Drosophila melanogaster: one gene and its partner. The protein of the gene in region 1 interacts with the protein of each later gene in a biochemical or structural test. Each region holds a gene or a part of one and is shown in the gene's direction. Other genes may lie near its edges.

Region 1 (5,082 bases):
TATTTTGCCACATAAGTTCTTTTGCGGATCTGCTTTGTATAAACTGAAGCACAAACGAAACTTTGTTCGCCACGAGCTGCGCTTTATTAATCTCGAACTAATCTATTAGCTCTAAGAGATTATGTTCACACGCAGATCCTACCGACTGCGCCAATTACAACTTCGCGGTTTATTGGTTTATAAAAAAAGGTATTTTTATTGATCAAAAACTTAAGCTAATGTCGGAGACAAATTCACGTCTTACACAATTGAAGTATGAATAAAATCTAAGTCTAATTTACAAAGCGAACGCTTAGCAAACCCTTTGTTGAGCATTTACTGAGTATTGAGTATTTACTTCTTCATATTGAGCGTACATAGGCTCTCATTTATGTTTACGTTAATTAGGCGCTCTCTTGAGTGGAATGCGCATGGATACAGATCAGCCGAGTTTGAGCTATGTGGAAAGTTTCGACCCTTAAAGCTGTGTAAGCAGTTTTCACCCTGTTTGTGTTTATGTTAAATTGTTTCCATCGGCCGAATATGTTATTGTCACCAAGAAGTTGGGGTTCTAATAATTGTTTTTCTTATGTGCTAAGGCGTTCTTCTATTTTCTATTGTTGCTAAGTAAAAGAATATATAAAGTGGCTGGTATATGTTGTAGATATATCTTATGTGGTTGAGCTTACATATTTCACTATATATATATAAGTTATATTAGCATTTTTCTCAATTGTTTTGAGCAATATGATCAACAATGACCAACGCCCCCCTAATTTGGAAAAATTGTAAGACCTAAAAGTTCCCACTCCGCTATTTAGTGGGTATAGCTTAACAGTTATTGAGAAAAAGGTTGAAAAACTTATTTGCCAAGAAAAGATGCAAAGGAAGCTTTGATCGTATAAAGACATCGACCAGCCAAATTGAACAGAATTCCTATAAGCCAATGACTTATAGTGAGCCTATTATTACAAATAATCGAGTTTCTCGACTATCAGATACCCTTTACTCAGCTAATGGGAATGCGAATGTGAAAATTTATTTTTTGTTTGGGATATCGGGGATATAGATTGATATTGGGGAATAAAATAAGAAAAAATTAAGAAATGGTTTACAAGTGTGGGCGCGACCGTTTTGGGCGTTTTTTAGGTGTAAGGAAGGTTGTGGCCAAAGTGTTTTTGGTACACCAAAAGAAATTGGCAAGACAAACAATTAAACGAAGAAAAATCTAAACATTTTTTAAATGTGTAACGGGTATAAAAATATCTTACTCCACCACTGAGACTTTCTCATTCATGATCTTGCCGAGTATACCAAGATAAAAATACAACGGCACAATTCGTAAACAAGTACTATTTAAGTAATCTCTAATTATCTTATCTTATTATTATATTTTTATTAATCTTATTATATTCCGCAAACGTATTTCTTGTGTCGCCCGCTCTGATTTCAGAGAGGGTCACTTCAGCTTTTGTACCTTTCAAAACAATATGCAATCCTTTGCAGTATTTTTGTGAACAATCCATATATAGAGTGTTTCTTTACGCAGTTTTTAAAAGTGAACGAACGCCTTAACGCATTTCCGGTGTCTTGCAAGTGAGCTACAAATTGTCCTGTAGTGCCATCTCCTGCCAGTATAGTAACCATATCTATTCACACATAATTTTATATATATACATTTAATAATATATTATATGTATATAATATATATATATATATAATAATATAATTAACTTAAGAAGAAAGGATAGCTGCCGAGAAAAACTTGTAATATTTTTATAGATATTTTAAAAATGTATTTTAAGTAATGCGCATGCGTTTGCGCATGTGAAAAGTAATTCAAGGAAAAACGAAATAGTCCACTAAACTAATGTATGTTAGTTAGTGTATGATGTTTGAAAACTGAAATCATTAAAAATGAAAGTTTTTTTAACTTTTCGAATATTTCTTTGCATTTGTAAGTATACTTAAATGTGTAAAGAAACATACAAATGATAAGTTCCTTAGTAATTTTAAAGGAAACTTGCCCACAACATTTCAGAGAGAATGTTACCGTGACAGACTTGTATTTAATAAGTGAAAATATTGTTCCAATGAAAAGGGTTCTGGATAGAGGCCCTTACTTTGATACTTCAGCTACTAAAAACGTGACATCCTTAGTTGGCATAACAGGACACCTAAATTGTCGCATTAAAAATCTTGGAAACAAAACGGTGAGCTCATGTATTCTTCCTATGTTCACGGATGTACTCTTATATATTTTAGATTATACCCGTCTAAAGGATATGAAAGTATTATACGCGAACAGATGTTTTTTATCGTAAGCGTTTTAAAAAGAAGAATAAGTTTTAAATTATATATCCTACCATTTCTTTTGAATGTTACGAATTGTCATTACTTTGATTCCACGTTGACCTTTCCGGCCTCAGCGATGCCTTTGGGCTATTTTGTTGTATTTGTTTTTGTGTCTCATACTTACAGTATTTACGGTATTACGGTAGTTTGTATGTATTTTTGAATATGAATCAAGCAAAGGAGTTTAACCGATCATTTAGCTAAGTTATTTCAAAGAGAATGGCTCTGCGTAGCGAATAATTATACCCGTTACTCGTAGAGTAAAAGGAAATACTAGATTCGTTAAAAAGTAGGTAACAGGCAGTGGGAAGCGTTTCCGACTATATAAAGTATATATATTCCTTATTATGATCAATAGCTAGTCGATCTATACATGTCCATCTGCCCGTATGAACGTAGAGATCTCAAGAACTATAAAAGCTAGAAGGTTGAGTTTCAGCATACAGAAACTCAAACTTTGCAAAATGCCCTACAGCCGCCCAACCGCTGCCACCCCCACATTTTTAACCATTTTCGATGTTTATCATAATTTTATTAGTCTTGTAAATTTCTATAGATTAGCCTTTTGCCACGCCCACGCCCTAAAGGCGCGGAACCGGTCGCGCCCATACTTTAAACAATTTGTAATAATTTTTTCATTTTATTCCCCAATATCTATCGATATCCCAGAATTGTGATGAAATTTGGCCTTTGCATTTACACTAGCTGAGTAACGGGTATCTGATAGTCAAGGAACTCGACTATAACGTTCTCTCACACTAGCTGAGTGAATGCGAACCCCAAATTTTTATCATATTTCGATAGATATTGGGGAATAAACAAAGAAAAATTTAAATTGTTTAAAAGTGTGGGAGTGACCGTTTTTGGCGATTTGTTAGTGAAAAAGGGGGGTAGCCACGGTGTTTTTGCTATACAGATTTAAATTGGTTAGACAAACAATAAAACAAAGAAAAATTTAAGCAGTTTTTTAGCGGTTTAGAGTGGGCGTGGCAAAAAGCTTTTTGGCAAATCGATAGAAATTTACACCAGTAATAAAATTATGAAAAAATATAATTTATATAATATAAAGAATTAACTATCAATGTTTCACTAATTTCAAAACACAAGTCCTGGACGTTAGAGGATTGATAGGATATAGGCAAGGCCTAGGCTCATAAGATCAGTGCCCAATCTCTTACAGCCAAGGCGACAAAGTGTTTGTCGCTGCTAACAAGCTGTAACGAACTGTTTTTCTTAGTTCGTCCCACCAAATTTATGATTTGTGTGATTGCGCGACCAAGGAAAAGACAGAGTTTCAGATTAAGGACTGACTTCTCGGGTGATCGCTGTCTGCTGCGCGGCGTTGCTCCTACGACGCTTTGCCTACTTTGTCCTGTGTGTCGAATTGGATTAGGATGTTATGGGACAGGGTGTATTGACCACGGCCAATGCTCGGCCTGGGACCACCTTTGCCGACCACTGACTCCACTGACCCTTCCAAACACGCCAGGTCCTTGCTCCTTATGCCGGCCTCTTTCTGCCAGACGCTTCCTTCGTTTGTTCTTTACCGACTTCTCTGCACGTTCTCATTCACAAGCTCCATCCTTGCACGTGCTGCCACAATACCTCCTTCCACGCGCAGTCTGGTTCTTTGTCTTAGTGATTCGTTCCATGCGCGTTCTTGGTCACTAACTCTCTACTCCTCCGCCTTCCGGCTCCGTTCCGAATGCGCGGCTCGCGCCGTTACTCTCCTCGACAATAGTATCCCGCAGGGATCGCGTTATTTCCCCTTTAGCGCACGGCCCGTTCGGGTACAAGGTCCAACAGTTGTACCGTTAGTTCACGGTGCATCCTTTTTGTGCATGCACCGTTACCGGTCGACCTCTGTGCCCTTGACCAGCTCGAGTCCAAGGTCCAGCGCGGTGACGTTAGTTCACGGTGCGTTTTCTATGTCCATGTCCAAAGTCCGCAACGTTGTCGTTCGACCTTTGTGCCATTGGCGCTTTTTGCATCCGGATTTGTGGGGAGTTTTCAGACTCCTCACACGCTTTTTCGTGATGAGTTCTGTAGGAGGCGGATGGAGGAGCCGAATGGCTCCTCACAAAATATAAAAGCGCAAAATATAAAAAAAAAACAAGTGAGAATGCTTTAGACAAGCTCCCCGACTATCAGATAGCCGTTACTCAGCTGGTGTGAGTGCGAACGCGAAATTTCATAGTTTTTATAATTACGAGCTCTGTAATTATCGAACGTATACTTCTCTGTTGACTGGTTTAGCACGGCGACTCTTGCCTCAAGCATCCACTCTGACAGCAGCTCTCCCCGTCTATAGTTAGCTTGCCCCTCGACATGGAGACACTGCATTCGGATTACGGGGGTTCTGCTGGCCTGCAGAAGGTCCGCATCCATCTACCACAGGTACGGTTCCAGAATTGCATTGAACTGGTAGTATGCGGCTCTAATGAAGATTGAGCCAAAACTTCCTTTAACGACCCGGCATACGCCATAATCTGTGGTGAGGGTTTCCAATGGCATATAGAAGGCTTCCTGATGATCCACTAGGATGGCTGCCTTCCCTCGCCGGTCGGTGAACATCCTCATTCCTTCATCCTCATTTCCTGAGTCGGACTCCGAGCTCGATGGTAGGAGCTCGGCCTCGGCCACAGTTCGCTTGGATGAAGCTCAGCGGGGTTAGCAGCGGGGGCAGCAACAATAGCAGCGTTTGACGTAGCCGCCCGGGCGACCTCCAGCGACAGACGGACTTACTGT
Region 2 (5,216 bases), on another chromosome or scaffold:
TTGGGGTTCCAAACAGCCTAACATAAACCTTCAAATATACAATGCTGCCAAAAAGGATACAGGTCGCCTAGAATACCAAAAACGTTTTATGAGCGCACAAGAAGATCTTGGTGTGAAAAACTGGATCTACACCGATGGTTCTAAAGTCACCGGCGCAACTACTTTTGCGGTCGTTGACTCTAACCGTAAAATAATTGCAGGAGGTAGGCTTCCGTCCTACAACTCCATATTTACAGCCGAAGCTTTCGCCATTCTCAAAGCATGCCAATTCGCTTCCAAAAACGCTGGAAAATCTGTTATCTGCACAGACAGCCTCTCCTCTCTTTCCGCTATACGCAACTGGAACCATAATGACCCCACAACACAAGAAGTTAGGCACATTCTAAGTTCTCACCCAAAAAAAATCACCTTACTCTGGGTTCCCAGTCATCAAGGTATTCATGGGAATGAACTTGCTGACAAAGCCGCCCAAGAGATGAGGCTTACACCATCAATCCTGTTCACTCCGTTTAACTCCAAGGACCTAAAAAGTCGAATCAAGTTATACCTCAAAGAAAGGAAACTCTCCGAATGGGCACTCTTCATGCACAGGTACCAGTCTATCAATCCGAATTGCATCATGTTCAAGCCACCAACGAACGTACATAAACGGGAATGCGCGACCTTTATCCGTCTACGCATCGGGCACACCCAATCCACACATCAACACTTACTGACGAGATCGGCGCGACCAACATGCCAACTATGCGGGGACGAGCTCACCGTTGACCATATTCTCAACGCCTGCAGTCAATTGCACTCAATTAGATCTCACTTATTTGGTACACATAGTCTCTCGAATTGTTTAAGTATCCCATCCTGTGAAAATATCTCAAAAATTTACAAATTTGTCCAAAAAGCTAAGTTTATTATATAAAGCAATTAACCCATAAGTCTCGAGTCGAAGGCCCCCGTAGCTAGTACTCATTAAATTTAATTAGGTTTAGTATTGTATACTATATTTAATTTTGTTAAATAAATAAATAAAATAAGATGATGTGCTCAAAACAAGTTTTGTTACCTAACCTAGCTAAGAAACAATGCAATCTGGAGTCGTTGACAAGTATGTATGTAACAGAAGCAGAAGGAAGTGTATAAAAACTAGTGACTAGTCTTACAAGTTATCTTCAAACGTTATAGTTACAGTTGTCGTTAATGTCTAGCTAAAATGTTCCTATTTTTTCAACAACAAAAACTGCCTTAATCGAACTATTGCAACCTATGTAAAGTAAATTAAGTAAAAGTTAAGTCTATTGAGACTTCTGCTTGCTTCCACCTTTCCATCTCCCTTGCACAGTCCTTAGGTGATTAATAAATATCCGATAGTCGCATTCATTAAAATCTTTTTTTGGAAATTTAATTAATATGTTTTAAAAAGTGATCAAGCAAAATAAAGATATATTTTCTAACGTTCGATTTATTTTCAATATGCTTTCGTCTTTCTTTGACTTTTCCTAATTTTTTGCACAAGGTAAGGCTTAAAATATCGTCAAAAGTCGGCTGATATAAATTCTATATGTATTCCAAAACAGCTAACAATGTTATATCCCATTTGAAAAATGATGAAAGCGAACAACCGAAAAACTAGCTCTTGGTAAAACATACAGCCTTTTATATTTCAGCAATTGGTTTCTGTATAACTTTAACTCGTTTTTCTTTTCTTTTAGAATGTTTTTCAACCAATAATAATCAACTGGGCAAAACTAACCACTTATGCAGATCTCTGCGTTTTAAGTTAAGGCAATTGCTCTAGTAAATTTACCAGCTTCTAAATGTTGCTGGCAACATGTTGCCAGAGGACAAGCACTGACGCCTTCGTCCGCCACACGAGCTCGTCCTTCGGAAGCATTTCGGCTGGCCTCGGGATGGCAGGCACGGGACACGGGACTCCACAGTGCCAGGACATCGGAAGTCGGGAAATTGGGAAATCGGGATGGCCGTGCTGCCGAAGGACGAGCACATTGCGCTGGGTCGGCCCAATGCGAAACGCGCTTGGTGCGACAGGTTCAGTGCTCGGGCAACTTCCTAGCGCGTCGGTTCAGTTCAGTCCAGTGGATTCGAGACACGAAAGGACTCAGTTTCAAACTAAAAATTCCAAAGTTTCGAAAACGGGTTTCGAGTGGCGCGAAACAACAACGATACAATGATACAATTACTCTAGCTGAAAGTCGAGAGAAGAGTTTTTGACAAGTGTTAGTTGATTATTTTCAAGTTTTTTTTTAGTGTTGGCCAGTGCTTTGGACTAGTTTCGAAGCTTTGCTTGTTTTTTCGAACAAGGTAATTCTAAGACCCAAAAATTCAAAAGTTTTTCGCGAAGCATACGATGTGAGCTGTGACTGCGTATTTAGAAATTACTACACTAGTGAGGTGAAGCCAATCCCTCGTTTAGTCCTTTACTCCATTGCCCGTCGATCGCTGCCTAAATCATTTCACATACGCTTGTTCACTCATTTGTCAATTGCATTATCGGTGGTATGTTAGCATTCCCTTTCTTTTCTCAGCCTTTCAACCAATTGTTACACCAATCGAGTTGTTTTCTTGCGAATTCTCTCGACTGTTCATGAGTGAATTCCTTTTCAGTTCATTGAATTTCTATGTCCTTTCCGTTTTCTAACATTAACTTTCTTTGTTTGCATTTATGTGAGTCACTCGTCACTCGTTGGAATCCTTTATTCTCGTTTCTTGTTTTCAGTAAATAAAACAGTTGATTTGCCAAGTTGCAAATTAACTTTTGCCAGTTTTTTTTCCCAAAAACAACTATCTTTATACCTTCGTGTGGGGAAAATGTAGTCACCTTTTATGGTCAAAATCATATCGTACATTTTGTCGCATACTAACGATTTGATAAATTGTTTAACATAATTATAAAACTGTCAGCTTGTGTTCTTTTCGTTTTTAATTGTTTGTAATTATATATTTTATATAATATGATAGCATACATTACACATTGCAAAAATTAAGTAAGGTTTTCAATATCTTTTTTAGTGGTTTGTAAGACGATCCGAATTCAATTTTATTTTAAATCCGGTATCCATGTATTGCTTTGAACCCTTTTTGTGTTTCTGATTTCCTTCAAGAACTTTCACCCACCTGAACTTTAAAACCCCATTCAATCTCTCGCTCATCCCTCGCCATCCGCCACCAGTTTGGCACATTCTTGAGGTACCTTTTCTGGAAGACTCCTCCGAAACTTTTTGCCATCGAACAAAAGGCGCCAAAATGAGACTGCAGCATCCAACTAGCAGGCCAAGTTTTTAGTTGGCAATGATTTATGTTTTATTAATATTAAAAGTGATTTATTAGCCATGAAATTTGTGAGCCAACTTGGTCGTTGGCCCTTATTCGACCAGGTGAAGGGAGTGCTGGCTGCATGCGCGATTTTTTAATTACAGATGGAGTGGGACAGGGAGTACTGTCCAGCTGCAGGCTCCATTATCCTTAAGCGCGGACCTGGCCGCTCATTATCCCGACGTCCGAACTTAAGCTAAACTGCTGCACAGCGAGATTAAAATTGTAAATGACAGCCAGCGTGACAGGACAAGGAAGGAGCAGGCATCTGCTCGTCCTTTAATGTCCTGCGCCGTCCAGCCACGCCCCTCTGCGCCCCTCTGCGACCCTGTTCGCAACCATCCGCTCCCCACCCACCAGCCGTCGCATTTTGTCGTGTTTTTAATGAAAATTAATTAATTAAATAACGTTTTTACTCATTCGCATCGCCTTGCCCAGCAATTGTCTTCCCTTGTGCGCAGGTGTGCGTGTGAGGATGCATTTTATATTAAATAATGAAGTGTGTAAAATGTATGCAGTGGCACACAAAAAGAGCAAAGAGGCAAATGAAAGGGCTTTATGCGGCAAATGTAAATTTGGACCTTTTTGGGCACAGGAAATCTCAAGCTTCAAAGTGCACAGAGAAAATTGTAAACGCAATTTTCCAAAATCTTTATTAATGGTTTTTTTTTGGGAAACTTTACTTTGGGAACGTAATTAATTTTATTATTGGTCTCGAATAATCAAAATTTATGTGCAACATTTTGTCATTATATTTGGGAACCCTTTTTGCAAAATGTATACAATGCATACTTCCGAAATACCTAATTTTTTTTGTTTGCCTGTCGAGAAATTCCCCGAAACTTCCCAAAGCCATTGCCAAATTTTGGCATCTCGGTCAACACAAAAAAAGTCATGCACTTCAGTTAGCATTAATTTGAAATTTGACTGAGACTCATCTCGATTCCATCTGGTTAACCGGAACCAAGGCAAGAAGCTTCGCGACTCCTTGTCCGCCGTGTCTAGTGGTTAATCAACTAATATCTTATAAAATCCGAATGGAATCCATCCGAATTCATAATAGAAAAGGGATCTTTGGTTTTGTGCTGCGTCTGGGAGATTGGAAATATTTCTCGATCTTTGTACTGAGCACAGAGGAATTGTGTGCGAGTTCTGCGCCTATGGAACTATTTGTATTGGTCTGAACTGACCCTGAACTGGCTCACATTGGAACCGAAATATATGATGATCTCCAAATTTAATTATCAGAAATGAATTTGAAACACTTCCACATATAAACTCAGTTACTTAGAGTAAACGTAGTCACTTAAAAGAACCTGAGTACTTAATTATAAATTTAAAAAAGGTTTTAAAATATTATTTTTCTAATTATCTTGCAAGCCCCTACAGAACGCCAAAGACATTTTTGCTTGGCGCCCATAAGCCTAGAACCTGTCTGCTTTTCAGATTCAGGCTTTAAATCTTGTTGAAGGTGGAGGGGAATATTTCATTATCACTATCCATTCACATGCCAAAAATTGTTTGCATCCACTCATTACAATGTTACCGTCAAAATAATGTATGCCACATCCTCCATTTACCTAGCCCTTAGGGGTATAATTAAAAATGAGTTCTAATTGAAACTGTAGTTTGCCCTCATAATACATTTACTTTTCAAGCTACTTTGTCTCCGATTCTGACGAACCTTTTGAGACTTTAAAAGGATATTTAAATGTCGGCTTATTGGGTCTAAGCGAAACAAGTTATGTACATATGAATAGATAAGTAGGTAGGTTATGTAACCAAACAATCGAAGCCCAGTGATAACAATAAATTCGAGTAAAATTTACTGCGACACTCCAAGTCGGATGCACTCTGCATTGTGTCCGGAATTGCGAAGCTCCGATTTC

The links.
Region 2: the proteins of dpr21 (region 1) and DIP-beta form a complex in vitro, tested with the Drosophila melanogaster proteins (one study listed by BioGRID).

What each region holds. Positions count from the first base shown.
Region 1 is NT_033778.4:3,064,691-3,069,772, forward strand, and holds the start of dpr21 (defective proboscis extension response 21), read left to right. Parts: upstream 1-1,808; 5' UTR 1,809-1,896; coding exon 1,897-1,936; intron 1,937-1,986; coding exon 1,987-2,192; intron 2,193-5,082.
Region 2 is NC_004354.4:21,454,566-21,459,781, reverse strand, and holds the start of DIP-beta (Dpr-interacting protein beta), read left to right. Parts: upstream 1-2,043; 5' UTR 2,044-2,231; exon of another isoform or gene 2,232-2,316; intron 2,317-5,216.